3 linked regions of the Arabidopsis thaliana genome follow. The protein of the gene in region 3 interacts with the protein of the main gene of each other region in a pairwise test. Each region holds a gene or a part of one and is shown on either strand. Other genes may lie near its edges.

Region 1 (11,970 bases), about 17 Mb from region 3:
TACTTTTAGTTCGATTATTAACCGATTGTGCAAAGGTGGAAAAGTGCTGGAAGGGGGATTGTTACTGCGGGAAATGGAGGAGATGAGTGTATATCCGAACCATGTAACTTATACTACTCTTGTTGATTCGTTATTTAAAGCAAATATTTACCGCCATGCTTTGGCTCTTTACAGTCAGATGGTTGTGCGTGGGATACCTGTAGATTTAGTTGTATATACTGTTTTGATGGATGGTCTGTTTAAGGCTGGGGACCTTAGGGAGGCTGAGAAAACATTTAAGATGCTTTTGGAAGATAACCAAGTTCCAAATGTGGTTACATATACGGCTTTGGTTGATGGGTTGTGCAAAGCGGGGGATTTAAGCAGTGCAGAATTTATCATAACGCAGATGTTAGAGAAAAGTGTTATTCCGAATGTTGTAACATACTCTAGTATGATAAACGGCTATGTGAAGAAAGGGATGCTCGAAGAAGCTGTTAGTCTTTTGAGAAAAATGGAGGACCAAAATGTTGTGCCGAATGGTTTTACTTATGGTACAGTAATTGATGGCTTGTTTAAGGCAGGGAAAGAAGAAATGGCAATTGAACTGAGTAAGGAAATGAGGCTGATTGGGGTGGAGGAAAACAACTACATACTTGATGCTCTGGTGAACCACTTGAAGAGAATTGGTAGGATTAAGGAAGTTAAGGGATTAGTCAAAGACATGGTATCTAAAGGAGTGACGCTGGATCAGATTAACTACACATCTTTAATTGATGTATTCTTCAAAGGAGGAGACGAAGAAGCTGCTCTTGCTTGGGCTGAAGAAATGCAAGAGAGAGGGATGCCGTGGGATGTTGTTTCTTATAATGTCTTAATCAGTGGGATGTTAAAGTTTGGCAAAGTCGGAGCAGACTGGGCCTACAAAGGAATGAGAGAGAAGGGTATAGAACCAGATATTGCTACATTTAACATAATGATGAATTCACAAAGAAAGCAAGGGGATTCGGAAGGTATCCTTAAGCTTTGGGATAAGATGAAGAGTTGTGGAATAAAACCGAGTCTGATGAGTTGCAATATTGTGGTTGGAATGCTATGCGAAAACGGTAAAATGGAGGAAGCAATTCACATATTGAATCAAATGATGCTTATGGAGATCCATCCTAACTTAACGACATACCGGATTTTTCTTGACACGTCTTCGAAGCATAAAAGAGCTGATGCTATATTCAAAACGCATGAGACGCTATTGAGTTATGGGATTAAACTCAGTCGGCAAGTTTATAACACTCTTATTGCAACTCTGTGCAAACTAGGTATGACGAAAAAGGCAGCTATGGTTATGGGGGATATGGAAGCGAGAGGCTTTATTCCTGATACTGTGACGTTCAATTCCCTTATGCACGGGTACTTTGTAGGCAGTCATGTAAGAAAAGCTCTTTCGACATATTCTGTGATGATGGAAGCAGGAATATCCCCAAATGTTGCAACCTATAATACTATAATAAGAGGTCTTTCTGATGCTGGGCTAATAAAGGAAGTGGACAAATGGCTGAGTGAGATGAAGAGTAGAGGTATGCGCCCTGACGATTTTACATACAATGCTTTAATCTCTGGTCAAGCTAAGATAGGGAATATGAAAGGAAGTATGACGATATATTGTGAGATGATTGCGGATGGGTTGGTACCGAAAACCAGCACTTATAATGTGCTTATTAGTGAATTTGCTAACGTTGGGAAGATGCTTCAGGCGAGAGAGCTATTGAAAGAGATGGGTAAGAGAGGAGTGAGCCCCAATACTTCGACTTATTGTACCATGATATCTGGTTTGTGCAAACTTTGCACTCATCCAGACGTTGAGTGGAATAAAAAAGCAATGTACTTAGCAGAGGCAAAAGGGTTGCTAAAAGAGATGGTTGAAGAAAAGGGATATATTCCGTGTAATCAAACTATTTACTGGATAAGTGCTGCCTTTTCTAAACCTGGAATGAAGGTTGATGCTGAAAGATTCTTAAAGGAGTGTTACAAGAAAAAGAATGCTCGTTCCTCAAATTCGTGAACGTGGTAATTCTGTTTCATCCTTCCAATACTAGTCTCCTCCTATTTTCAGTTGCAACTTTACTCAAATGTTTCATTTTCTCAGATATATACTACAGTAGCAGATTTGGCTCCAAACAGGACACCTAAGCAATTGTGAATCTGTGATTCCGCAATTGGGTTAGTGCTGGTAAGATTATGGTGCACCATAGTACTTCTTCACATTGTAATTCAGGATATCTTTATTCTTTGTTAAATCAAATTGCACGAGCCAAAACTATCTCCTGAAAATACCCTTTGAATTTCATTGTAGCAGAACGGCGATGGCAGCTGCAGAGCAGGCAAGACTTATGATCTAGCTGGTTTCTGGATGTAACTAGTAACTAGGCTGTTCTAAAGCGACATTGCAGAAGAGATCTCTGATTATTAATGGATGTGCCTTTGTGCAGCCTTCTCAGATCACACCCTGGTCTAGTTGAAGAAGACAGGAAGAATGAATTCATGTTTGGTCTGGTCATGGAAGCCATACCCGAGCTTGGAGCTCGTGATTTCCTCAGGAGAAGGATAGAAGCTTTTGGAATGATTTACTCAGAAAAAAAAGGAACCGAGGATATGGAGTCAGTGAACACAAGACTGTTCTCAATCCTGCTTCTTGCTTGGGAAATCCACACTCACAGTTGTTTCTTTCATTCAGAAAGTCATCAATAAACCATAACAAAGGAATTGAAATATGAATTACCAATATGATTGATATCTCAAATGAATAATTTATTTCCTTTTGTATTACAGAGTGTCAGAATCAGAGATTCCTTTTGAGATCCAAATTTTTTCAAATTGATACAATAATCAGAGAGGTTTGGATTCAAATAAGAACAAAAACTCCTGCAGTTTTAGCAATCAATAAGTGAGCTGCTACTTATATTCTGTAACCGCCTTGAGCTCCAACTAGCTGTTGTAGGAGAAGACGGTAGAATAATCGTCGGAATCCGCTTGCTTTCTTCCACAAAAGGAAAGTCTGTCATGTAATGAAGACCTCTGCTTTCATGTCTAGCTAACGCGCTGCTCACCACAAGCTTAGCGCAACAGAACAAGTTTCTCATCTCACAAGCTTCAAGAGCTACCACTGTTTGTTCCCATCCATGTTCAAACAAAAATGTTTCCCATTTTGCTTCTAGCTCTGCGATTTTCCTCTCAGCAGTGGTGAGCCGAATTGTCGATCTGACAATACCAACATACTTCCACATTACCTCCTGAAGCTCTCTTCTCACTTCTTTAGTCAAAGCTATAATCTTTGCTATTACTTCATCTCCTAGCAATCTAGCTGTCGCAACAACAGGCCTTGTCCATTTCTCTGATGCGCATACATCAAGTCTTGTGCGTTTCATGAGCTCAGTCGAAGGCTGAACAGCCCGTCTCGCGAAAACCAGAGCTTCTAAAAGCGAGTTACTAGCAAGACGATTTGCCCCGTGGAGGCCTGTACATGCTACTTCACCTGCTACAAACAATCCAAGGACATTGGTTTCGCCTTGTAAACCAGCACGAACTCCTCCACACATGTAATGGGCTGCAGGGACAACCGGAATAGGCTGACGGGTGATATCCAGACCGTGTTTAAGACATTCAGAAGCTATGTTCGGGAAATGGGCAAGAATCTTTTCTCTTGGCTTATGGCTTATGTCAAGTAACACATACTTTTCGTTTCGTTTCTTAAGCTGGTCATCAATACTTCTTGCAACCACGTCTCTTGGAGCAAGCTCAGCTCGTTCATCGTAAACAGGCATGAATCGCTCCATTCCTAGATTATAGAGGATGCCACCATCACCTCTCACCGCCTCGGTGATGAGGAACGCGTTTTCCCTAGCAGTTTGTAGTTTGATGGGAAGACCTTCGTCGGCTAGGGCAGTAGGATGAAACTGCACAAATCTAACCAAAAACAAATACAAAACATAAGTTTATTGTCAACAAGTTTCTTCAGTCGGTTTTTCGGTGTTCACTTACTCCATATTTGAGATCACAGCTTGAGCTCGATGAGCCATCGCCATCCCATCTCCAGTAGCCACCTATACAAAAACCATGTCGATAATTAAAATGGAGCATAATATATCACTTTTAGAGAAATATCATTGCGACTAGCACAACCGAATTTAGCAAAAAAATGTACTCTATGACTAAAATCTCTTTGTTTCTGCAACTGTTTGAACTATTAAATCTAAAACTCTAATGCAGTATGTTTGTGTATACCCGTGATAATTTCGACATTTTCTTTTGTATTCAAGGGATAAATCACATTACTTAATCAAAGTTTCATTTTTGGATATTTCCCATAAACACACAAAACTGTTGTGTTGATCCTGCACATTCTTTCTTCTGATAAAATTGGTAAAATGAAACTTCCATAGAGCTTTGTTAAAAAGAGAGTCTATAGAAAATGTTACCAGAGGATTTGTGGTTGATGGATAGATATGCCCAGCTCCACCTGAAGCAAGCAATGTCACCTTCGATATAAAGCGTACTACCTGAAGAAACATGAGTTTTTTTTACATTACAATCTAAGATATAAGGTGAATGATCAAACCACCAGAAACAAGATCTTTGTGTACCTCATTAGTTTTGATATTCAAAGTGTCCACACCATGACAAACTGTGTTCAAGCCATCCTGTTAAGATACAAAAAGATATGATCTGATAAGCCAATTGATCATATATGCACATGTGTTTTTCAAGGGTGTGAAGTGGAACCTGAGAAGTGAGCAGATCGATTGCAAAATGGTGTTTGAAGACAGATATGTTGGGATCATTAAGTACAGCTTCAAGTAAAGCTCTCTCAATCTCTCTTCCTGTCATATCAGCAGCGTGAACGATCCTACAATGCGAGTGACCACCCTCTCTGGCCAAATGCAAATTTCCATCCTCGCCGTGATCAAATGATGCTCCCATTGCAATCAGTTCACGAATCCTTTCAGGCCCTTCAGTACACACAACCTGAAAAAGAACATTCAGATACAGAAAAGTGAGACAGGTTTAGACCATTACAAAATGCTTATGCACGAGACTAACACAAGCACTTATCAAACAGTTTTGAGGTAATGATCAGCAACAAAGGGAACTTACTCTTACGGTTTCTTCATCACAAAGATGAGCACCAGCGACCATAGTGTCCCGCATATGACTTTCAACAGAATCCAAAGGGCATAACACAGCACTAACACCACCTTGAGCATAGTTTGTGTTACTCTCATGAGGCTCATCTTTGGTAATCACTGCGACTGTTCCTTGCTTTGCAACTTCTAAAGCATAACGCAGACCCGCTACTCCACTACCAATCACAGTGAAATCATAATACTTTGTTGAAGAAGATACCGAAACAGCCCTGATAGGTTTTGAGGTCTCACTGATGGGGGAAATACCACGAGAGTAACAACCACATCTCTCAGCTTTTAGAGCCTTAAATACCCCACTTGACCTATATGCACACAGAGATTATAAAAGTTTGAGTCCAGCATGAGAAACTATAGGTCTAACTAGTTAAAGTTCTACATGAGAACAAAGAGCAAAATCATAAATGAGAAACATGAACCTCAAAATGCCAATTGCTACACAAAAGGGACAAAATTTGGGATTAAAGATTAAAAGAAGTGATACCAAGAGGGCTCTTTGAATGGATTTGCCATGAAAGTAGAAGCAGAACTCCATGAAAAAGCTTGTCCCCTGTAAACCTGCCCCGCAAGATAGAAATTATGAATGTTTCCAGTAGAAACATGAGCCGCCATTTCCGACCTTAAAGCTCCTACAAAAACATGAAGATTGTTGTCATAAGAAAACATCATCAAAACAAAACAAGAAACATTCTTTCTGTACAATATAAAATCAAAATGCATAGATCCATCATCCATGATGCTCAAAATCCAAAATTTGATTGAAGAACGATGAGAATTGAGGACAATGTGTTACTCAAAATCCAACAATAACCTTTTTTATATCGAAACTTCTGAAATGAACAACGATAGAAAAAAAGACATAAGAAATATCGCAACCGTTGTCTGAATTCTGGAATTTAGGAGCAGAGGAAAGAATTAAAAAAAAATGTGTAGACTAGATCACACAAAATTCAGAATCTACGTTGAAATGAAACCAAGTAATGAGAAACGCAGAAATCTTACGGAATCACGGGAGGGAGCTCTCTGATCTAAGCACGAAACGGAGAACCCACGCGAGTGTAGATCAATAAAACGTGATTCAGACTTGATTAAAAAAACGACTTTTCGCAAAGAAACAATCAAAATTACGACGAAGAAGAAGAAGAAGAGGAGAAGGAAATGAACGAAGACAACACAAATTCTGGTAAGAGTGTTTTATGTGGTTTGGTCGTCGAGAAGAGTCCTTGAAATTCGCGCCTTCGTTTTGTGTATGGGAGCCTCCCCCAAGTGGTGTTGTTGGTCTTTCTTTATTCTTCTCTTTTGTCACTTTTTATGTCTTTGGGATCTTCATTTTTCATTGGCCTTCTTCAGTTTTTCTTTTATCACATAAAAAAAAAAGTACTTCTATGAAATAAACTTTTAATAAAAAATGGAATTTATTACTGAGTTAAAAAAAATTGGAATTTATTACTAGGCGTGGATTTTTAAAAAATTAGTGTATAAGATGATAATTTACTTATAGAATATTTCCCAGCTTTCTTCTACAAATATACACATTAATAAAGCCATTGACCCTACAAATATTCAAGTTTATTAGCCCTGTGGTTCATAATTTTTTAATATTAAGAACATTTATATATAAATAACAACGGTAGCTCAAGATGTGTGACCATGATTTTCCAAAACTAAAACTAAAAAAATAAATAAAGCAAATTAAATTTAAAAGAATTCTAACAACTTGTATAGAACTTTAAATATGTGTTCATACATGCACCAAGCATGACCGACTAGAAGAATCATGGAAAAAGAACATTCACTTTTCCATGACTCGTGGCCAATGCAAATCTCCAACGGCCACAACTATTTATTTCTATAACTATAATTTCTGGAAAAAGAAAAAAAAAATGGAGAAAAACTATTTGGATTTTGGAGTCTTCTTTTGAGTCTTTTTTTATACTTTTGATTTGTAAGTGGTGGCTTCTGAATTTTCCATCAGACAACTGAAAAAAACCTAACGAATAATAAAAATCAATAATATAAGACCGAATTATGATAACCATTCAAATGACAACTGAAAGAAAACAAATTAATTAAATAATAAAATTTCAAAAACCACGAATGCAATTTAAAAGGGAAAATGTTGGCATTTTTATGGCTATCATAATTTCCTTCTTTTCTAACTAAACATAGTGCTAATGGTTTGCTTAACTAATCAGGTATAACATCCACAATTGATGACATCCTCATTTGCTTCTATCGGAATAAACTGATTATCATTTGCTTCATCATCTTTAGACCTATGCTATTTTGGACCAGTCATGGTGTTGATGTATGCATCAAGGATGGCCTTATAACTAGAATCATGGGGAAAAAAGAACAATCACTTTTCCATGAGCCTTGCTAAATCTCCAATGGCCACAATTATTTTATTTTCTACAAAACTTACTGGAAATCACTTTGAGTCTTTTAGTTTTGACTACCGTTTTTAAGGGGAGAGATGACTTCTTCTGGATTTTTTATCGGACAACAAAAACGAATAATTAAAATTGGGCTTTTGAAAGGCGGGCCCAATACTGACCTAAGATTTTGCATGGAAATAAGCCCTGGATTTTCCAGAGGCCTAAATTAAACCCGAATCATCATGCAATTAGAATTGTTCAGCCCATAAATTTTTAATTTTTTCACACACATGAGCCGATGGCATTTCGTTGTGCTTCTTACTGAATTTCACGTCACGACTAAAACCTAGAAAATCAGCGAAACACATTAGCAAATACTAATGTTCGTCTCGTAGTTAGTCAATATCTTATTGGTAAAACTCGCACATATGTAAAAGAGCAGTGTCCTAGTTGTTCCTTCTAATGATATAAGATCATTTCCGCAAATCAAATTGCAGTTTCACCACGTAAATTAATGATAGAACCTCAACAATATAATTAGTATCAATAAGAATTAGCTATATTTATCATATTATATAATTAACATAAATAAAGTCTATTTAAATATATCATTTAGTTCGTAGCATAAATCATTACATGATTTTGAAAAGATGGTAAACTTGTGAATCACAAATTCCTTGGCCATGTATAGAATATCAAACCTGATATTAGAATCAAACAAAATTAAATGATAAGATTGTGAATAAATGAGTGTTAGGTACTTAGGTCCATCAAATTCCTCAATCATACATTCTACGACATAATTAATTATAACATTTATATGTAAAAATACACACTCCTCTTATATAGTTATGACAATAAAATGTTGTATATAAAATTACTACCCCTCTTATATATTGCCTCAACTTCCAGCGTTAAGAGTTTAATATGTCTAGAATTTTAAATGTGCCAGCTATATCAAAATATCATTGCCTCTGTTTTTCTTTCATTAGGAAGAAATATTTTTTTTAAAAAAACCATGTACAAGTATCATTGGATATGTGATATGCCCAAATAGATCATTCGAATTTTGTATGCAGAAAACTCTAATTCTTAGTTATGGATGCAAAATATTAATTATGGATCTTATTATTATTGTTTGTCATATTGCTGATAAGATTACTGATATAGTCAATTACTGAAAAGAAAATCATTTTGTTAATCTTGAATAAATAAGTCAGCAAAACAAGATGTACAATAGCAAAAATATCAACAAAATAAATTCTTTTTTTTCAAACAAAGTTAATATTTGCTTACAACACAGATTGGAAATTTCAAATATCCATCGCACATGCTATGTGACAGAAAAAAAATATGAACAATATACGTGATTATAAATTCAATAATCAATAGTAATAGTATCTATACGTAAATTAAAGATATTTGGTGGGGGCACAGAGATCAAGAAATTTTAATGATAAGAGAAGGAGCTTCTATTCTCTCTTTCTTTCTAACAATAACACTGTTTTTTTTTCCCCGTGAAGAATCCTAATCCCAAGAGAGTCAAAGTGTCAAACCATCTTCTAATTGAATATCTCCCCTAACTACAATTCCTAACTCTCATGCCACTAATCAATTACTTATTGTACATTTTTCTTTTTTTAATTAGTAACCAAATTTACAAAATTAACTCTAGGAAATCGTTTAATCCAAGATTCCCGGACGTTGGTCCAAGGGTATCACTCTACAAAATAATTATAAAAAATGACGAGGCATTTCATTTTCTAATCAATGTATTTTCTGATAAAGGATGTCATATAAACTTGGTATCTCATAAATAAAGTATCTAAACTTCAAAACGAACAACTACTATTACTTGATGAAAATAACAACACTATTATAATTAATGGTTAGTTGAGAAACAATACATAAAAAATTTGATGGAACTATGAGAGCCAGCCAGTTACTATCCTTCTCACCTTCCAATGGGTTGCGGCAAGAACCTTCACAACCTCCTTTATATTTGCGATGTGTATCTAGTCTTTTGCAATGGTCTCAAAACACTTTGGGTTTCATAAGTTTAACTATAATGGTGTCCCTGATATTTTCGGTCTAATATCTCTTAAAAAAGAAAAATACTTATGATTCATTTCAATTAATCAAGGTTCAAGAAGATATATAAACACTAGCCCTGACACATGAAACTTCGATGCCGAAAAGCTCTAAGATCAAAGCCGAATCTTTTTAAAACATACACGTGATTTTTGTGTCTCCCAAGACCATCTTAACCGGTCCATGTTTTCATGTTTTAGTTAGAAATCTAGATTAAGTCATTAAACTAATCCGTATCAGTAATTACCAGCTTGCATCTCAGAAGTCCATTATTATTTACATATCATCATCACATGCTAGACACAATCAATACCTTATGTCAATATCTAAAATAAGTCTATAATCATTAATACTTGTATTTATACCAATAGTATATCGTTTATTAAATATTATTCATACTTTATACATAAATATTCCACTAGGTTCTGAACTTGTAGTACTACTATTAATAACTCCGTCAAATAACTACTCAAAAGAACCTCTTTATCTCTCTCGTTTTATGATCTCTCTCGTCTATCATTCAAAGAAACAAAAAGAATGAGAAAGAAAGTAAGTAGTAGTGGTGACGAAGGAAACAATGAGTACAAGAAAGGTTTGTGGACAGTAGAAGAAGACAAAATCCTCATGGATTATGTCAAAGCTCATGGCAAAGGTCACTGGAATCGTATTGCCAAAAAGACTGGTCTCTTTCCTCTCTATCTCTCTCTCTAATCGTATTGACATAATTTATGAATTCTTTGTCACATGATTTTCTTTTACGAATGGTTTAAAGTTAAGGTTCTATATATTATATATGTTATTTTAGATTTAACTTTTAATCTATGTTAATAGAGTCCATATATCGCAAAAGCAACTTGAATCAGGATATTTATCTAGGGTCACCTTTTTGTTGTTTTTATTTTTATGAATTAAGGTCCTCAGTTAAATAATTGTATATGTGTGTTAGGTTTAAAGAGATGTGGAAAGAGTTGTAGATTGAGGTGGATGAATTATCTCAGCCCTAATGTGAAAAGAGGCAATTTCACCGAGCAAGAAGAGGATCTTATCATTAGGCTCCACAAGTTGCTTGGTAATAGGTATAACTTCATTTGCTCAAAATTAGTTTCTCTACTCAATTAATCATAAAAACAGCTATTTCTATCCATTTTGTATCAAGTTAAATAATCATAAATATTCGTGATTGTCTTCACAAACTTGCTTGGTAACACATGTTTTTATTCTCAAAATTTCAATACATTATATTTCACATGATAATTATATTGTTTATCTGTGTGTTTAATTAGGTGGTCTTTAATTGCTAAAAGAGTGCCGGGTCGAACGGATAATCAAGTGAAGAACTATTGGAACACGCATCTTAGTAAGAAACTCGGAATCAAAGATCAGAAAACCAAACAGAGCAATGGTGATATTGTTTATCAAATCAATCTCCCGAATCCTACCGAAACATCAGAAGAAACGAAAATCTCGAATATTGTCGATAACAATAATATCCTCGGAGATGAAATTCAAGAAGATCATCAAGGAAGTAACTACTTGAGTTCACTTTGGGTTCATGAGGATGAGTTTGAGCTTAGCACACTCACCAACATGATGGACTTTATAGATGGACACTGTTTTTGATGTGTTTTCTGCTTTTGTTATTTTAGTATTCGTTTATGTTTTGTTATTTTCAAAGCTGATCAAACACTAATACATCAACAGTCTTAGATTAAAAGTTGTTGATGTGGTAGTGTATGATTGGCTAAGTCTATTAATTAGGTGAACTTTCTTGGGTTAACTCTAATGTATATGCTTAAAAACTCTATATGCATCGATTAATGTTTTAAATGTTTCTTCAATTTCTTCCTAAGCAAAATTTTGGATTTTCTTTTGTGAATTGTTCATATAATCTTATTAAATGTTGGTTCAAGATATAAGCTAAAATTAAAAGAGTCGAACGATAACGGTAGGTTAGAAGGAGTATAGTTTATTTTTATTTTTATTTTACTTTGAGACGTACGTCCCTTAATTAATCTTCAAATTTGAAAAGAAGAAATTTCCAATTAAGTGGATACTACTACGTACCTTTTTGTCAACTAAATTTCGATTGTAGTTAAAACGATGCTAATGTGTATGTAAACGAGAAATTAGACAGAAACCTTGATTGCCCTGGCGAGTTTACTTGAAACGAACAAAATTAATACTAGTCAGACAATATAATGGGTCAAATTGTCACACTTCCCTAAAAAATTCTATAAATTGCTATGACAAAGCTGTCCCCCTTCTTAATAGTTTAATTTATGTTCTGTGTCTTTGGTTTTTAATATGTTCTTTGAAAGCTTGTCCCC
Region 2 (10,204 bases), 1.9 Mb from region 3:
AAATAAAATAAAAATTATCTGTACTTCAAACTCTTTAAATGTTTTAAAATAAATTATTGTTAAATTACTGTATCAACCCCTTCTTCTACATAAATCATCATTGATAGCAAATATATATTTGAAAATAATTGCACATGGAAATTGGAAACTTTGTTATTTACGCAAATCTTTATTTATTTTGTTTTGTGGAAAACGCAAATCCTTATTTAAGATATAATTTGCACAAAGAATCTTTATTATTTACACAAAATCTCTATTTTAAATATATTTATTTGTTGTTTGTTGACTCATTTAATATATGGTGGGTGGGTCGGCGATTGGGACGAAAGTTAAAGGGTAAACATTGGAAACAAATAATTCGGATGGTAAAAGATAGTATTATTCAATTTATTTTGATTCAAAGACGGGATTAAAATTTTGGGTTCTAAATTAGGTTCAAAAGTTTTATGTAATGAAATTCCACATTGGGACATGTATTTGGAGAACATTCTACTTTAAGATAAATATTTCTAATTTTTTGGGTATTTTGATTTTTGTTTGGAAAAGTAATATACTAAAATGGATAATACGAATACTCTCTCCCACACTTAATCCAAATGGATAGACATAATTGGGTGAGAAGGAAATCTAAATAGCTTTATTGTACATTCCCTTAATAGAAGTTAAACTCTTGAGTCTTCTTAAGTTAATAAATTTATTGTGGGACAAACTAAACCAAGATAGATTTTTGTGTTCATATGAGCTTGTTAAAGTAGAAATCTAAAATTGAAAATAAGATGGTTCATTAAGTTTAATTGTGCAAGAAATCGAAAAGAAGAAAATATTCAGATTGTCACCACGATTAAAGTGGTTCTTTGACTGGTCTCATACAAAGCAAAAAAAGAAGAAGAGAGAGTTAACACAAGAAGCAACTCCTAAAGATAACTTCCCTTCTTCTCATTATACAAATCTATATAAATCTATTTTAATGACAACCCTAAACATATGGGCTAATAAGTTATTTCTATGACAATGAGTTTTTATTTTGGACAAACTTCTATGACAATGATTAAGTGTTCCAATAACTGCAGTTTGTTTGACCAAGATTTTGATTCCAATTTTTAATTTTTATTCGATATGCAATTATTAAAATCCGACTCAACCCCAAATTACGACCCAAATTCAACTAACAAACACGAATGGGATGGAGATTGATTTTTTTTTTTAGTGAATTAGGATGGGGATTGATTTTCTGTCTGGAAATGGAATAGGTTGTTGGGAACGAAAAAGCAATCTACTAAATACTCTCTATTGTACCTTCCCTTGATACAAAAGTTAAACTCTAAGTTAATGAAATTGTAGTTAGGCCAAAGTTTTTTTTCTGTTTAAGGGCAAATTATAATTATTTATTAATTGTTTATCAAAAATAAAATATCGGTCAACGCATAATTCTGACAACCGAAGTAGAATGGTTATGGTATTGGCAACATAACTTATATTTATTTGTGTATGTCGGTATGTTATAACAATATATAGTGTAGCTAACAAGACATTTTTAAAGTATGCATGTGTGACTAGATGATGACATCTCTTTCGTATAAGTAGCAAACATTTATCCATTTTTGTGCTCATATAAACTTATTAACATAAAAATCTAAAATTGAAAATAAGATAGTTAGTTAAGTTTTATTGTGCAAGAAATAGAAAAGAATAAAATATTGGGATTGTCATCAAGATTAAAGTGGTTCCTTGATTGATCTCACCAAAAAAAAAAAAAAAAGAGACTTCTACGAGAGGCAACTCCTAAAAATACTTCTCTTCTTCTTATCACACAAATTATGAATCTGTTTTGATGGAAACCTAAACACATGGGTTAATGAGCTATTTCTATAACAATGATTGGGTTGCTCTACTAATTGTAGTTTGTTTGACAAAGATTTTTATTCCACTTTTATTTTTTGTTCGATAATTCCTTATCCAAACTTGATTTAAACCCCAATTTTGACCTGAGTTCAACAAATAAACGCAAACTTAGCGAACAGGATGAGACAAATTTTCTATCTCGAAATAGATTAAATAGTTATTAAAAACTTATTCTTTTTATCAGGATTCTTTTGTTCTATTCCTTTCACAACTTTGAATTCTTTGAAGCACTTTTGTATAAAATCACAATCATTTTGTTCAGATTTTGGGAGCTGGAACTGAAGTGTTGTTTCTAAAATCTTATCAAAGGGATGCATGTTGTATTGCTTTTGTGTCGCTTATTAAACTTTCAATTTGCACCCAAACGAGAAATAAGATCAAATCCTCTTGTTTTCATTTAGATTTGTGTTGACATTTGTGTTAGTTTCTTAGTGTAAAGGAACAAGTTTGTGTTGACATACATTCTTTCTTCGTTTTTTCAGTGGCAATTGACAGTTCCTTACTTGCTACTTCCTCTAAGATTGTCACTTACTTGATAAGATGAACAACGATGATGTAAGTTTCTTTTTTTTTTCTAATGTTATAGAATTGTATGATTGAGAATTGGATGTTTTTTCCTGAATTTAGAATTGGTCGGACGAAGAGTGTTGATATTTTCTTCAACTTTGTACTGCTGAGGAAAAAGGGAATAGAAGAAAGACGAGATTAAATATAACTGGAAAAGAGTCCATCATGAGATAGTTTGAAGAAAAATTTGGGAAGAGATATTCATGGGATAAACAATTCAAGAACAAGTATGATGTGCGTAGAAGAACATACACAAAGGTTAAAAACTTGCTTCATAACAGAACTGAAATTACATATGATTCTGTGTAAAGAATAAATATAATTTTTCTTTTCATTACGTTTACCTAAGTATTTAAGAAAGCAAGTAAACATACTTTTAATAACTAAAGGTCGCTGAAAATTCTAAAAATTGTAACGTGAATTCTCAAAACTGTAAAAACTGATTCTTTTTATTGTACCCTATATGTTAACGTTAATTCTCATAACTCTAAATTCTTATTTTTCCATCAAAATCATGACGTCAATCAAACTGTTAAAAGGCGAGATACAAATATAAATATTGTACTAATATTGTTAATCTGAAATATCTACTATTCAAACATATTTGTTTGAAGTATATCATATTACATGATACATTTTTTGGTGATGAATCAAATTGATGAATAAACATTTCAATATGAAATTTACTTGTTTTTGAATAATTATGTAATACTTTTTTTTATTAGTTATATTTTGTAAAAAAATATAATATTTTATTATAAATTTCATCAATTGACACATATTCATTCATGACAATTTTTTTATCAAGCTTGAGATCCTCAAAATGGTTTTATCATTAGTTATATTTAAAATTTTAACATTAAATCATAATAATATAAAAATTTGGTGTTTTTCAGTTTTCTAAAATTATAAATTATATTATTTTGGTATTTTGTATTTACCGTTATCGCACATGCTAGTTAACCAACTATAAAACTTCAACAAACGTAAAATTTAACCGCTAAATCAATCATTTAAAATATATGATAACTCTTAAAACCGCAACTCTCCGTTTCCATAAATTTCAGCAGTCTGCATTTGAACCATTCAAGCCTCGTAGTTTGGTCAAGAACCGATTACGCGGCCAAATCTTATATCCGACGCTAAGTCGCTAACCATGTGGAAACCATTATTTATCAATAGAAATCAAAACGACAAAACCCGACCTAAACCGAAATCTCAAATTCGAACCCAAATCCAACTTACAAACCTGACCTTAACCGGAAATCAGAATCCGAAAACATTTTCCCTTATAGCAAGGTTTAAAGAAAGCAATAACAAAACCCTATCTCTCGTCTCTTCTCCCCCAAACTCTCGCCGCCGTGATAACCCAAAGTTCTCGACGAAGCCATGTCTACCGGAGAAGAAGGTCACATGGCGATGGCAGATAGAGGCTCTAGAAAGAGAAGAGTCGGCGTTAAGAAAGGTACTAAAGCGGCGAGGAACAAAAAGCAAAAATCAAAACCTTCTACTTCCGATAGGTTTAAGGTTACAATGAAGAATCAAAAGCTATTTCAGAAGAGAGCACGAGATTACAATTCCGATGACGATGAAGAAGAAGATGATGAATCGAAGAAACAACCAGAAGTAACAATTCGTGAGAAGATCTTCTCTGATGCTAACATGGGACCAAATTACGAAGAGATTGGAGAAGAAGATAATGATGAGAATTCAGATGGTGAAGATCATGGAGAGATTGAATCTGGAATCACTAAGTTTGCTACTGATGGATGTAATGCTTTCAAAATCGCTTTTAAAGCTATTATGAAGAAGACTAAAGGAGATGATACATTGGTGAGATTTTATAGCAGATTCTAGTTTTGAGTTTTGATTTGGGAATATAGTGTTGAACTGTGTTGGTGTTGTGTGTAATAGGGCCCAGTTTTATCAGCACATAAGCATCTTATTGGAGAGAAGCTAGCTGAAGATGAAGCTGAAAAGAAAGCTAAAGGTCAAGCTAGAAAGGCTAAACATTTGGTATGAGTTTGGTTGTTGTGTTCACTATTCGTTTGTGTTCTTGTGTTTTAGATGATGATTTATCTTAACAATTGCTTTTTTAAGATTGCTGAGAAGGGACATGTTAAACCTGGAAGTTATTTGGATTCTCATGAAAAGATTCTTATTGGTGTTGCTACTAAAGGAGGTATTGTTGCTTTGGTTAAACTCTCTGTTTCTTGAGATTGTTTGGTTTTTTTTTTTTGTTTTAGTATTGACTCTTTTTTTCCTCTCCATGAACTTGTGGTATCACAGTGGTCAAGCTTTTCAATGCTGTAAGTTTGTTTCTATGTCTATTTTTGAGGTTTTTATTCTCCGGTAGTGATTCGTATGATTCTTAGTTTATGTTTTTCAAATAGGTCAACAAGGCTCAACATGCTCAGAAGGGTTTGAATCCTTCAAGGTCTAAAGACGCTAAAGGTAGGCTTAGAAATTGATCGTTGGCATGAATCCACTGTCTTGTTCTTATCTTCTAATTCTCGTTTTTTATCCTATTGGAACATCCATCAGTGCTGAAGAAGCGAAGAAAAGAAGCATTCTTGTCTGAGTTAGGGAAAACAAAAACAGACACCAAGGTTTGGCATAGTCTCCATATCTCTTACTCTCTCTCTTTCATTATGATTTATCTTGAGAGTTTATTCCTTAGCCGTTTGATGCACGTAGAAACAAGTTAGTATTCTGTCTTGATCTAGCTCCTATAGAGAGTCACGAAAAGAATCACCTCATGAGTGAGTGATAGATGTTAGTTATAAATCAGAAGTATTCTTAGTAAATTACTAGTAACAATTTTGAATGTTCTTAAAGCCTTCAACTTTGGATGAACATAGAAGCAAGTTAGTATTCTGTCTTGAGCTGGCTTCTATAGAGAAAGGATCACCTTCAGTAGCGAGAGCCGTTAGTTATAAGTCTAAAGTATTGTTGGTTAGTTAACTAGTGATATTCTGTTGGATGGTGCAGGCTCACAAATCTGAAGACGAAGCTCCTGTTTGGGCTCCTCTACGAGATAATTACATGTTAGCAAACCCAAAACTGAAGGACTGGGACAAGAAACAGGTATCTCTTCATTCTTATCCACAAATCTGGAATCACATAGCTTGCATACTGATTTATACTCTTTGATCTGAAACTTAAAATTGAATTGTCCGCAGGAAACAAGCGAGGGAGATGATTTTGCCGGTTTGTCAGGAGATGAAAGTTATGAAGACTGAAGAGTTTAAACTAGTAGTTAAACGAGCAAACTTTAATTTTGCCTTTGTATCATGCAAATTTTGTCTGATCAATATGAATGAATTCAGTTTTTTGATAGTGCAAAAGGATCCTGAAAGGTTGTGATTCTTGTGGTTACGCTTTTAGAAAATACACTTGTTAGTATCATTAACCAATACCGTAAATATAGAAGTGATGATACTCCAAACTTCTACATGGTTATTATTTATATGACGTAAAAAAAATATACATTCGTTGTTTTGCCTTGGCTACACAAATTATAATAGGACAAAATTTAAGGATCATGAACCTGAATCTGTAGAAGAGTTTCTAGTTTCACAGTCAAGTCATGATGCCAAATGACAGAAGAAGATAACAAACTTTATGCAAAAAATGAGGCAGAACTGCAGAAGCATGCGCCTTTCTAAGCAAGTATGACGCTTTTGAGGCGGAGAACTCGTGTTCCTTTTCAACCAATAATGGCTTCCAGATCCATCGCTGCCAATTAGTTGCATCTCTGTCTTATATCTCCACTTTGTGATCTTTCATTGTTTTGAGGTTTTATCCTCAGTAGCTTCTTGTTGGGCTCATCGGGTCGTAATCATAAGCTTCACCGGACTTGACAAACCGTCCTTTCACACGCCGTCTCACATCAGCCCTTTCTTTCCTAGAGACATACCTTACTCGCTTGTCAAACCTATTTATACAAAATATGTTAAATATTAGCTATAACAACTTTCAATGATGAATTAAATTCCTTTCTGTGTGCGTTTATACTTACTTGCGAGCCTTCTTCTTTTCCTTGTAACGCATAACAGCGTTATTACGTGTTGTTGCATGTGAGGAAGCAATAATGTCCTGTGCTGTTGGATGGCACCATGGTTGTGGCTCCCTTGAAAGCTGCTTCATCGATGACGCCCCACAATCTTGGAAATCTCCAGCATTACTTTCTCCAGTGATGCCAGAGAAGGAGATATTCGAATGTGCTGGCTTTGATGAATAGCAAATTATTGGCTCGGTTCTACAAGTCATGAACGAATCTGCAGATGCATTATTGCTTAATGCTGGCTGCTGCATTGAGCCCTGAATTGAGAAAACACACAAAAGAGCATAAGGATCACAGAAAAAAATCATCCTTAACTTTAGTGATACTAGTCTCAGATAGAAGAAGAAGGTTGACAAAACCTCATGAGCTTCATCTTTCTCGAAAAGACTTCCAATTCCACCGTGCTCGAAGAGATATCTTGATGAGTTGAAGGCTGAACCAAAGAGTTCTTCATAGTTCTCAAGAGCCAAGTCTACTTCATCTGAAATGAGATTTCCATTGAAGTCATCCTCACATACTCCAAGCTCCTACAACCAGTACAATAATAAGAAACATTTAGACGCTAGTTGCTTTCAAGATCTTACCACAATATGAAGAAAATCATGTTAAAATACCTTAGCCATTGATGAATTTTCTGGAACACTAGAGTGATCCATACCTTGTGCAGCCGAACTGGTTTCAGGCTGTTCTACATTAATTTTTTGGACACCAGATTTTTCTCCTGTGCCATCTTCATCTATAGTCATCAAACCCATTCCTTGCTCACAAGCGGATTCTTCAGCAGAAGAGATATTCAAATCCATACAGAAAGACCATATCGAGGATAATTCGGCACTCGAGGGACAACCAGAATAACAATTGATGGTTTGCCTTTTATGATGTGAAGTAGTAGTAGAATTCTTGCCGTCATGGCCTGACCAATCACAGTTTTGACATAGAGAAACCCTCTCATCACTACACCGGACAGAAGCTGGCTGTGCATTACACCTCTCACATACCAAAGTCCGCGAATGACGTTTCGATAGAGCATTAGCAGAATGAACATTACGGTCACACGAAAGACACAAACACGCTGCATCAGATCGACAATACACCATTGATCTTTGTTCACCACAGAAATCACACATATAACCCATCTTTCAACCAATCTCAACCGTCACACTGAAGAAAGCAAGCTCCTTTCACTAACAAAGAATCAAACCATTTTGGTTAGTCCCTTATATCATAATCTTAGAAGGAAAAAAACTTACCACAATACATTAAACAACTAACAAAAGCTTGAAACTTGGTATCGAAAGCAAGTCCAGAATTAGATAAAAGTCCAATCTTTTTAAACATCTCTTCCTCAAAGATTGTAACTTCCTATGGATGAGACTGTTCTAAATCAAAGACCAATCAAAAGAGACATCAGAGAAACCAATTAACATCGCAGAAAGACTTCAAATTTCAGATCAACATGTACCAATCAGAGAAGTGAGCTAAAAAATTATAGATTTCTTATTACAAATCCGAGAGAAGTGAAAGAAGATCCATTTCAAGATCAGTCAAAAAGGATTGAGAATCAAAGCAACCCTCACTAAAATAACAAGACAAGGGTTTTAAAGAGCTCACGTAGGAGAGATCGTCAAGTATCTTCTGAAGCAGAGACACCAAAAATGAATGACTTTTGAAACGAATAAGCGATGATTCCACAAATTTCTTCTTTAGCTGCGTGTGAAGAAGGGTAAAAGGAGAAACAGATGGATAGACAATGGGTGGGTTGTGTCTGCAAAGGGACATGTAGGCAGAGGCATGTGACATAAGCTGATAATTCTAGAAACATTGGGTAAAAAGTTCAAAAGAACCCATTTTCTAAGGACCCTAAAGATATTTTTATGAGTATGAAGTCACGCGCTCGCGTGTAGACAAAGAGCCGTACTCGCGATCTACAAGGCACAAGTGGAACTTTTCCGATTCTGGATTCTCAAAAGCGTCTTCTTTTAGATGCTTTAAGGCTTAAAAGCCCAATCACAACAATAGTCTTTGCTTTGACTTTACAAAAAACCAAAATATCTTAATTTGAGAGACGCACATGAATGAACAAAATATCTTGCCTAAAAAAGGAGATATTATTTTTGTAGGTGAAAAGAAAGAGAAAGATCAAATATAATATCTGGCAAATTGGAAACGTCTACACAAAAAAAGATATTTGTGTATCTGTAACACTGACACGCGCAGGTCGGTGTCCACTCTTACTTATATTATTCAATTTGACAAAATATTAGTACATTAATTTGAGTTGAAAACTTTTAATTTGAAACTATGTACACTAGATAGTCACAATGCTAGTGTCAAGTATTTCATTTTTTAAAGACTTTTCATTCTTTTTTTGCTTCATGTATTTTTTTTAAAAAGTCAAAACCTTAATAGGCTAATTTTTTAAAATAAAAAACAGCTTTAATTGATAACTAAATAAGCTAATTGTTTTTAATTGAATTTGTAAATAAATAGACTTATATATATAATGGCCTAGCTAAAGAAAACTAACTCATATCCATAAGAAACTTACCAAATTTTCTTATGGTTATTCGATTAACAAAAAGTATGGTTAAACTAATACAAACTTTTTGTTTGCAAATATCTGATTGTCCTAACTCTTGAGCAATCGTTTAGTTGGTATTTGGGACCAAACTAAGGTAGACTAAATTGTTAATTTCTAATTCTATTCCAACTTAATCACCAAAAGAGATTTAAATAAAAACACACACACTATGATATTAATAGTCTTCATTCAAGTTTCCAAGCATAAAGAAACAAACAAAAGTCATGCAATGGTCCAAAACCACTTGATGCTGAATTATAACGACTCAAAGGACTACTCCCTCCTCCGCTATCTCCTTCCTCCGCATCGCTAAAGCTCTCATCTACCATCGCTCCAACCGGAACAGGCTTAAACAAAAACAACCCTGAACTCGCTGCAGTCTCCGAACTTGCAAACAACCAATCATGAACATCATAGTAGACCATTACCGGTGTTCTATCCACCATCACCATTTGGTTTCCCCTAAATTTCCATTGTAGATTCTTCACGTTCACAACCACGATCCCATCAACGCTTATCCACATCTCTGGCTCCGCTGCTCCATTAGAGCTCTCCACCACCACTTCATGTTCCTTTCTTTGTTCGTCAAACCTTGCCCGAGTCGAAAACGTTTTCTTCCCAAATATGCTTTCTTTTTTAAAGTATATGAACCCTTCCACCAATGCCGGTCTTGACTTGGTCCGCTTATAAGCCTTTTGCTTTAAATCTCCCAACAATAAAACAACCTCTTCATCAGAAACTACTGCCACGTAATAGTCTGACACGGGTTCGGGGCTACCGTTTCCAGCCAATTTTGCTGATCGAAGATCCCAAAAGACCTCCACAAAGTTTCCCTCTACGTCGAATGACTTTGACCCTCTTTTGCTCCAAAACTGCCATGGCTTCACGAGATCAATCTTACAACAATAATTCATGTCATTGTCTAAACTCGACACCATTACGGTGAGGGAATGATTCATGAGATTCTTGGACCATAAAACGGTGACGTTTCGAAAGAACCCTGCCACATGAGCTTGGTAACCGCACGTCACGGTACTATGAGGTGAAGGCGATGCAGCCGACTTGAGTTGTGCCACGGTCTTTGGATT
Region 3 (9,662 bases):
TATTTATGTCTTATCGTATATGATCATATAACCTTATTGCCAAATCAAAACCACATATTTTTCATGTCTCCAACATTAGGTCCTTTTTTCGAGGTTCTAGATTCTAACTAATTTTTGAAACAAACCTAAACTTTCTTTGAGACATAAGGTTAAACAATCACATCAGTTTAAAACTTACCTTTCTTTCTCCTTTTTTTTTTACTTATGTGAAAAAAAAACACAAACGAGAAAAACAAAAAAAAAAAATAGTGGGAAAATGGGCAACTGTGGGAGTGAATATAGTGATGTTCGGGTTTGATTCCTTGGTTTTTTTCTAGAAGCATATATCCCTCTTTTTCTCTCTTGTCTTTTGGTATTTTTTGAAAAAAAAGGAAAGGTTTATAAATTATGTGCAATGAAGCCATATTCTTTTTGGTAATCATAGATGAAAAACCTTTTGTGCTCGTAAAGGGTTATATTCTCGATAGTTTGTTGCAAAATGAATAACTAATGGAATATTATTGGTACTATACCTTCTCTTTATTTTATTAAAGGCACATTGCTTCAATATTGTCCAAGAATTTTTTGATTCCGACCCCTTGATGGGAAAAGACTAATTTTATGTGTGGTTTTTTCTTATGATCTTACTCTTCTCATCTTCTTCTTAAAAAAAAAAAAAAAAAAAATCAAATTGCAAGAAATTAATTAACAGATTTTATTTTCAAACTCTTCAATGAACAAAAAGCAGCTAAATTTTGAATATATTGCCTTATCTTTTAGTCATGAAAATGATCTTTCAAATTATTGTCATTAGTAGCAAACATAATAGAGTATGTACTATTAGTGTAGCAGTGAATGTTATGATTATTGTAGGGATTAATGTAGTCATGTCTAGTAATAAGAGTGATGCCTTTATGCTTCAACTTTTTATATAAGAAGATTGAATCATCTTTTCTGCAATTTGTCTATTGGCCACACCTTCCACTCTTGGAGGTGCAACTATATTTTGCACCCTACAAAATGGTCACGTGACATTCGTTGAACGCACGTGTTCCTGACACAAACCCTATCGACTTGTGATTCTTTTCATTTCAAAATATATACTAACACTAAAACTGCTGAAAGTTTGAGCTTACGTAAAATGATTGGCAGCTTCTCTTGATTTAATGCAAATTGCGAGCTGAGATTTTATGTTAAAAAAATTTGTTGAAAATTGTTTAATCAACATGAATCCATCTAAAAAAGATGTTGTAAGTAGTCTTATATAGTTTTACAAATATAATACTAGTAGTGATGGAGATTATAATGGAGAGGATTACTTCAGCTACGCGTATATGGTTAGAAACTAACATGTTAAAAAGTGTAAAATTTGGTAGGAATTACGAAGTGCAAGAGTTTTATGACCAACAAGAGTGAGAAAGGACTTATGATCCAACTCTGAGTCGTTGACTTTCTAAACATAGTCCGATGAAATAAACCTGTTTCCCACTCACATGACCAACACATGCATGTTTCAGCCTTTCATTGGCATTAGACAAGAAGTGGGGAGCTTGTGACGTAAGATGGTCCTGTCTTCACCTGATTACACCAATCCCGAGTTGATTTAAAACCATTAATACTTGTAGTTAAATCATTGAGGTTAACCATTTATGTAGACTGATCTATGCAGGTTGTGGCTTAAATATTATCTAATGTTTTATAGAACCACTAATGATACAGTAATTTTATGGATTAGGACATTTAAAATAACGTGGAAAACATAAAATATCCTTTTAGTTGTATTTGAATGAAAAAAAAAATGGAATTTTAATCAATTGTATAGCACATCACTGCTAACGAAAAACAATTTTTTTTTGCAAGTTTTCAATAAATTCAACAATATGTCCTTAAAGATTGTTCTTTCTATTTTGTAAAAGGTTCAATTGGATGATAAATTAAGCATGTAAAGAAAGAACATCTTTAAGAAAAGCAAAGATTTCATTCAACAACAACAACCAAAAGCAAAGAATGGATACGAAATTCCGAGTGATAATAACTCCAAATATCTCAACCAAAACATTTACGGAAAATGTAAATGATATTTTTAGGAATTGGCAAAGAATCCATCCCATGTTGTCGTTTACCTCACGTGTCATGTATGGACCCATCCCTCTTCCTCTTATTGGTTTTGTTAATTGATTCCATAAATATCGATCTATCAAACCGTAATGGTGCATTGTGATGTGTTATAGAATATATATTGTCTGAGAAGTAACCATCTAATGGCTGTTAGATTAGTATTTTTTTTTTTCCATTGAAAGTCACTAGCCAAACGGAGAAGTTTGTAAATGTCGTTTTATGTACATAAATTCTGCATTATGTGTTTTCCATAATTTGTAATACTGTAATTTGTGTTAATACATATTATTGTTGTTTAGTTTATTTGAGTTTTAATTTGTATAATGCATGCATATTGTTGATAGAAAAAAAAAATATATATATATATATATATATATATATATATATATATATATTGTTTAAAATTGGGGTAATTTCGTGTTGATATGACCAATAAATCTGATTTAGAAGTAAAATTAATCCTATCAAAAACGATTCATTGGCTTGTAAAAGTATACATTAGTATTCAGATTTATTTAGAAAAATGTCATTAATATTGAATTGTAGAATATATCTAAAGTACTGATATTGAAATTGAGATGAGTAGAGCAAACTTGTAGTACTCATATATCAGAATGAGTTTTGTCACATAAATAAAGCTTGCTGCCAAAAAAAGAAGGGTTAAATCTTTAAAACCCCGACCTAAATAGTTGTTTTATCTAGAAGAGACAAGTTAAAGCGTTATATTAATGGCATCTTGAATACTATATTGAGGCATTAAGATGTCTAGATATTTTTGAGATTTAGCTGAGGAAATCTATTTTCGTCTTCGATATCTATTTTAAGATCTTCATAATCTTAAAATTCAATCAAACTCTTTAGAAAGGCTGTCGTTACGCATTTCTTTACATTTAAAAATAAATGTCTTTTATACATATAAATTAATTTGTGGTCAATGACATAAAATGAAACATAAAACAAAATGAGTGAATAATAGTGCAAGTGTGGGTCCTTACTCCTTACGATAGGATTTTGAACATTATTTTATACTCCATAAGTGTTCTATTATGAAACACATAATTAATATATAATTACAATTGTTAAACCAAATTTTGTTATACAATATTCACATTTAACATAAACCAAAATATTATTTAAATATAAAGAAAGCTAAACTCGAATTGAAATATAGTAGTTTTAAATTTTCGTAATCAGCTGTTAAGCCTGTAATTTGACAAGAGAATTCTCATAGTATACAGCAAAAAAAAAGACAAAATCTCTCAAGTCCCAAATGAGCAAAAATACAAATAGTGTCAGACAAACGTTTTAAAAACGTTGAGAATTTTCTTAAATTATTTTTGGAAGTATACAAGAATATAATTTTTTCAAAATGATTTTGAATTTTGGAAATTTTGTTTAGTTACGTCACAATAATTTTGAAATTATTATTTTTTTTGTCGGCAACTGTGATTTTGAAATTAGTTTCTTACCAACATAATTATTTTCTTATAAGAATGAAGGAATTGAATAAAACAAAAATACGGCGAATAATATTACATGTTGATTGCTAACAGAGAAGAGTAAATCGCACGGCCCAGAGGCACCTCAGATAAACGGACGAATCAGAAAAGAGGAAGCCAATATATACGGAAGCAGACAATCATTACCTTTCATCGCAATATGACTCACTATCCTGCGCTGTTACTGCTACTGTACGCCAAAACAAATGCGGTCCCTACCTTTGACTTGGTTTAAAAAAGTCAAAATTAAAGCAGCTTTTGTGGGATAAGATTGTTGAGAGAGAGGACAAGAATCTGTATCTAAATTCCACTTACGAAATTACGAGAACTCTTTGTGTCTGTGAGATAACAAAAAAATTAAAAATGGAAAAAAAAATAAAGTAGAGAGTGACACAAGTGCTTTGTTTGGTTCGAATATTATTTGTACCATTACCATTTTATTTTCTAGCACACAATTTTGCAATTTTTCTCTCTTTTTTTGGCCTAATGATTTGAGATATTCGTGCTTTCTTACCTTTTAATTTGTAAGATCTTGTGAACATTTTAAATCATACAAATATCTCTTAAATCAGTGATGAGATTCGTTTTGTGAGGAGGAGGAATCTAGAATTGATCTTGTATATATATATATATATGCAATTTTAAACCATTCAATTCTTGGATTCTTTTTTTAAAAAACGTCTAAATTGTTGGATTCTTTTATGAGAACTCTGAACAATGTTACTTACGTTACGTACGTTTAAAACAATTTAATATTTCTTCTTGTTCTTGTGTATATCTCAGCATTGACATTCACGCTAAAAACAAACTAATTATGTATATTTTGTGTACCGGAGAAATGTTGTTTGGATAACTACCAAGTTGTAAAACATACTATAAGCTACTGCTCAAAATTTTGTACTATAAAGTATATTGATTCAATATCATCACAGAATGATGTTTAGTTTGTCTCCAAATACAAAAATCATGGATTTATAAACAAAAACCCTGAGAAAAAAAAACATGTTGGGTTTAATAAAACATGGAGATAAAAGTCTAAACTAATAAACCTAGCGGGTATTTCTTTTTCTTAAAAGACATGATTAATATTTTCTTCGCATCTATATTTTGGAAAGTGAAAAAACATACTACATACATTAGTTAGATAAATCTTGTTTTCGCAAGAAAATCTGATAGTACTTGCTAAAATTTTATTATTTTCCTCGTTATTTTAATGAGATTTGAGAATTGTAAAACTAGATTTTTGAGGGCTAGTGGTCGTTTTATAACAATGTTAGTCGCGTCACCTAGTAACCTGACTTTACCGAATAGTTAATAATTTTCTTAAATGCCAACATACCAAATCATTACCAGTTTACCACTCAACCTTAGTCCTTAATTGATAGGAATGTCCATTGTTTGATGAAAAAAAAAAATGAAAAAAATTGATAGGAATGTCCATTAAGTTAAAATTCTTACAATACATGTTAGTGTTTTACTGTTTGCTGACTGAATCTTAAATTGATTTACCATTAGTGGTTGGTGGTAAATTTGAAATTTTGTCTTACATGCTTTGTTTGTTCAGAAAGACAGAAACCATGAAGCATTTTCCTAAGGTATAAGAACATTATCGTAAATCTGTTTTCTAGTTACACAGAAACAAACTTTCCTCTATCATTATTTTATCACTCAGCAAACTTAAATCATTGAAGTGAAAAGACAAATTGATCAACCTCATTTGTAAAATCTATTCACAATATATATGTATAAATTATTAGTTACCGAATCTTATTGGTACTCTTTCAAATATTAACAAATATACGATGATGGAGTACAACATAATATATGATTTTTTGAAAAGAGTATAAATAAGTGAAAAAGAGGAAAGAAAAGAAGATATGAAAACCCATCAAAAGTTAAAAAAATTTCTTTTTGTCAAATGTATAAATAATTGAAAAGAATAGGCAAGTCAAGTGCTCTCTCTCCCACACCCATCGATTCCTCTCGGACACTGCCCCAATCTCTCTCTCTCTTTCGACAAAGAAAAAGTCAGCGCCGTCCTTTACGCCATAGTTTGTCTCCTCCTCTCTCTCCTCCTCTCACCAACATAATCAAAGAAGCTTTCCTCACGAATTCAAGATCGCCATGTCCTCCGAGGATTGGGATCTCTTCGCCGTCGTCAGAAGCTGCAGCTCTTCTGTTTCCACCACCAATTCTTGTGCTGGTCATGAAGACGACATAGGAAACTGTAAACAACAACAAGATCCTCCTCCTCCTCCTCTGTTTCAAGCTTCTTCTTCTTGCAACGAGTTACAAGATTCTTGCAAACCATTTTTACCCGTTACTACTACTACTACTACTACTTGGTCTCCTCCTCCTCTACTTCCTCCTCCTAAAGCCTCATCACCATCTCCCAATATCTTACTAAAACAAGAACAAGTACTTCTCGAATCACAAGATCAAAAACCTCCTCTTAGTGTTAGGGTTTTCCCACCATCCACTTCTTCTTCTGTCTTTGTTTTTAGAGGTCAACGCGACCAGCTTCTTCAACAACAATCCCAACCTCCCCTTCGATCTAGAAAAAGGTTTGTTCATATCGAACTAAACACATCTCTTAGTTCAAAGTTTCTTTCTTTAATTATCTTTTTTGTCTTGTTGCTTGTAGAAAGAATCAGCAAAAAAGAACCATATGTCATGTAACGCAAGAGAATCTTTCTTCTGATTTGTGGGCTTGGCGTAAATACGGTCAAAAACCCATCAAAGGCTCTCCTTATCCAAGGTTATCATCAATCTTTTTTTCAAAATTTTCTCAAGAAAAAAATATTAACATTTTTTTAATTAATGTGTTAATTAATCGAGTTATTACATAAAACAGGAATTATTACAGATGTAGTAGCTCAAAAGGATGTTTAGCACGAAAACAAGTTGAAAGAAGTAATTTAGATCCTAATATCTTCATCGTTACTTACACCGGAGAACACACTCATCCACGTCCTACTCACCGGAACTCTCTCGCCGGAAGTACTCGTAACAAATCTCAGCCCGTTAACCCGGTTCCTAAACCGGACACATCTCCTTTATCGGATACAGTAAAAGAAGAGATTCATCTTTCTCCGACGACACCGTTGAAAGGAAACGATGACGTTCAAGAAACGAATGGAGATGAAGATATGGTTGGTCAAGAAGTCAACATGGAAGAGGAAGAGGAGGAAGAAGAAGTGGAAGAAGATGATGAAGAAGAAGAAGATGATGATGACGTGGATGATCTTTTGATACCAAATTTAGCGGTGAGAGATCGAGATGATTTGTTCTTCGCTGGAAGTTTTCCATCTTGGTCCGCCGGATCCGCCGGTGACGGTGGTGGATGATGAAAACGAATAAAATCTCAATTTACAATTTACAAAAAGAAAAAAGTCAGTTTTTAATTATTATTTTTGTTTGTTAAAACTTGACATTTATTGTGTTATAAAAAAATATATAGAAGAGAAGAGACAGAGAAAGAAAGACTAATCATAATTGTTCTTTGTTTAGATTCATAGCTAAAATTAGTAAATTAGTCTTGATTTAATCATTTGGTCGATTTGAATTGACATTGCATATACCAAAGCTGTTTCTTGGCTCCAAATGTATAAATCATCTTTTCATTTTTCCTATTTCATTTATGAATTTATCTGTATTACTAAACTAGTGATACTTTAAATACCAAAAAGCAACAAATTTTGTCAAACCCTCTATTTTTAGTGTTGTAAAGGTCAATACGGGTTGACAAAAGAAAAATAAATAGAGGCTAATTCTGAAACGAATTAAAGAGTTAAGCTAATTTAATGTGCCTAGTTAAAAAAAAGTTGGCAGCGAGAACCATGCTAAAAAAATCGTATCGTATTATTCACTTTCATTTAATGTCGAGATAATTAAAAACAAATCGGTACAGTTTAGTGTAATAATTGAGAAATAATCATGTGGGAAGAGAAGCTATAGCTAGACGACAGTTAATACGGTTCAGACCGGAAACAACGAGTCCGGTTTTCGCTGGCTTTAATTTCACGAGACAAGACCCTAAATCTGGCGTCTTTAGTCCCACTTGTGCCTTGCCTTCTATTAAATGGTCAACCTTTTTTTATTATAAAGTTTTTTTTGTCGTAATCCGAAGCGTCGGTCAAACATATTTTATTTCATTATGTCCGTCGTATTAGAAAAATCAGACAATTAAACGTCTCTGGAATTAACTAAAGTAGGGTCGTTATTGCTATAATTTAAAATAAGGCTATGACGATTTAGATGTTACGAATTTTTTTGTATAAATATCATATACTATGGTCGGTCCAGATTCTCATGACGAGAGATGGGCATGCAAGTTGTTACCTCTCTCGATTGTCTTATCTTTATTAGGTTTTTAAAAGTGTTTTCTTATTACTTTAGTGAACAAGCATTTAATGTACCAAAAATATCAAAACAAATCGAGGAAAAAAAGTGTTTCTTTTTTAGAAAAAAAAAATATCCAACGTAAGAGTTGGCCATATTTTCTAATGGTCCCGACTCACAAAAAAAAAGATATTTTAATAGATAAATAAATTACAATTGAATTAAAATTAATAAGAAGTAAAAAAAGATAGAATTAAGTAATAATTATGCTTAAAAATCAAGATCCATCATATGTCAATCACATTAATGCTAAGCAACAAACTCCTATCAATTACTAATAAGGCCCATTATTTTATAATTAGGCCCATTAAATTCAATTTCGGCCCATAGTTTCTTTCGCTTTCTCCATCTGACAAGTGAAAGTTGACACTGTAAACAACTACAAACAACATTTCTGAGATTGCGCCGGAGTCAAGGAGAGGGAGAGAGCGATCCAACGGTTGAGATGTTTCTACGGGCAATCGGACGGCCATTATTGGCTAAAGTGAAGCAGACGACGGGGATCGTCGGGCTTGACGTTGTTCCCAACGCGAGAGCGGTGCTGATCGATCTCTACAGCAAAACCCTAAAGGAGATCCAAGCTGTGCCGGAGGATGAAGGGTACCGTAAAGCGGTGGAATCATTCACGCGCCAACGTCTCAATGTGTGCAAGGAAGAAGAAGATTGGGAGATGATTGAGAAGCGGCTTGGTTGTGGTCAAGTCGAAGAGCTTATCGAAGAGGCTCGCGATGAGCTCACACTCATTGGGAAAATGATTGGTTCGTACTCTCGTTGCCTATATAGATTGAGAACAATTGGAATATAGATTGATTTGTTGCGATAATCACTCAAATTGAGAAATGGGTTTTGTAATTGAGAATCTGAATCCTGAGGCTTTGTGGATTGTTAGGTTGCAAAATCTGAACACTGAGCATTGCAAAGGTGACCCTTTTATTGGGCTATTGAGTTTAAGTGTGTGTTGAAAACTGATATACAAGTAAGGGAATGCAAAAGTTTAGGTTTTTATATAATTTGCTAACTTTGGCTATGAGTGAATGGTTGCATAGTTCACTTTAGTTTGGAACGGCTTTTGCTTTCAATGTAGGTGTGTGGTCATCTTCTTGCTTTGTAGTTATTTGTACATTAGTGTTATTGCTTGTACTCTCTTTTGAATCTTCATAATCATGTGAGCGAGGTTACAAGTAGCTATTGTTTGAGACTTATCACATTCTTTGGTTGCAATATACTTCCAATGGTTTTAGAATGATGGCTTATTTGTTCTGATTTTGTCATTTACAACATGTTCTTCACCATGGAGTTGTAATTTGTTCTTTTTGCATATGCAGAGTGGGATCCTTGGGGTGTACCAGATGATTACGAGTGTGAAGTGATTGAGAATGATGCGCCGATTCCAAAGCATGTTCCTCAGCACCGACCTGGTCCTCTTCCTGAGCAGTTCTATAAAACGCTTGAAGGTCTAATTGCAGAGTCTAAAACAGAGATCCCAGCTGCTACACCCAGCGATCCGCAGTTGAAGGAGTAACTTCCAGTTTTTACATATTGTGTGCTTGTTGCTTTTTTGGCTAGAGTTGTTTCCGAATCAGTGGTCAAGCCTCTGAATAAATTGCTTAATAATTTTCATAACGATAACAATGTCTGTTCACAAATGTTTTATCACTCTTATTA

The links.
Region 1: the proteins of WRKY27 (region 3) and AO interact in a two-hybrid assay, tested with the Arabidopsis thaliana proteins (one large-scale study listed by BioGRID).
Region 2: the proteins of WRKY27 (region 3) and AT5G48240 interact in a two-hybrid assay, tested with the Arabidopsis thaliana proteins (one large-scale study listed by BioGRID).

What each region holds. Positions count from the first base shown.
Region 1 is NC_003076.8:4,762,949-4,774,918, reverse strand, and holds AO (L-aspartate oxidase), read right to left. Parts: upstream 6,657-11,970; 5' UTR 6,177-6,656; intron 5,804-6,176; 5' UTR 5,787-5,803; coding exon 5,659-5,786; intron 5,480-5,658; coding exon 5,128-5,479; intron 4,999-5,127; coding exon 4,756-4,998; intron 4,674-4,755; coding exon 4,617-4,673; intron 4,533-4,616; coding exon 4,452-4,532; intron 4,077-4,451; coding exon 4,015-4,076; intron 3,940-4,014; coding exon 2,907-3,939; 3' UTR 2,766-2,906; downstream 1-2,765. Other genes in the region: AT5G14770 (PPR repeat protein), read left to right, coding at 1-2,038; MYB66 (myb domain protein 66), read left to right, coding at 10,181-10,325, 10,590-10,719, 10,927-11,263. UniProt on the Arabidopsis thaliana protein: Catalyzes the oxidation of L-aspartate to iminoaspartate. Can complement nadB-deficient E.coli mutant. Plays a role in stomatal immunity.
Region 2 is NC_003076.8:19,555,443-19,565,646, forward strand, and holds AT5G48240 (Rrp15p protein), read left to right. Parts: upstream 1-3,800; 5' UTR 3,801-3,858; coding exon 3,859-4,302; intron 4,303-4,383; coding exon 4,384-4,485; intron 4,486-4,569; coding exon 4,570-4,651; intron 4,652-4,758; coding exon 4,759-4,778; intron 4,779-4,862; coding exon 4,863-4,923; intron 4,924-5,013; coding exon 5,014-5,078; coding exon of another isoform or gene 5,079-5,149; coding exon 5,150-5,235; exon of another isoform or gene 5,236-5,330; coding exon 5,331-5,385; exon of another isoform or gene 5,386-5,460; coding exon 5,461-5,556; intron 5,557-5,651; coding exon 5,652-5,711; 3' UTR 5,712-5,833; downstream 5,834-10,204. Other genes in the region: BBX8 (B-box type zinc finger protein with CCT domain-containing protein), read right to left, coding at 6,277-6,406, 6,491-6,792, 6,895-7,062, 7,150-7,671; AT5G48270 (DUF868 family protein (DUF868)), read right to left, coding at 9,302-10,204.
Region 3 is NC_003076.8:21,405,276-21,414,937, forward strand, and holds WRKY27 (WRKY DNA-binding protein 27), read left to right. Parts: upstream 1-5,493; 5' UTR 5,494-5,720; coding exon 5,721-6,160; intron 6,161-6,240; coding exon 6,241-6,354; intron 6,355-6,450; coding exon 6,451-6,943; 3' UTR 6,944-7,251; downstream 7,252-9,662. Other genes in the region: AT5G52840 (NADH-ubiquinone oxidoreductase-like protein), read left to right, coding at 8,443-8,755, 9,323-9,519; AT5G52850 (Pentatricopeptide repeat (PPR) superfamily protein), read right to left, coding at 9,660-9,662. UniProt on the Arabidopsis thaliana protein: Transcription factor. Interacts specifically with the W box (5'-(T)TGAC[CT]-3'), a frequently occurring elicitor-responsive cis-acting element.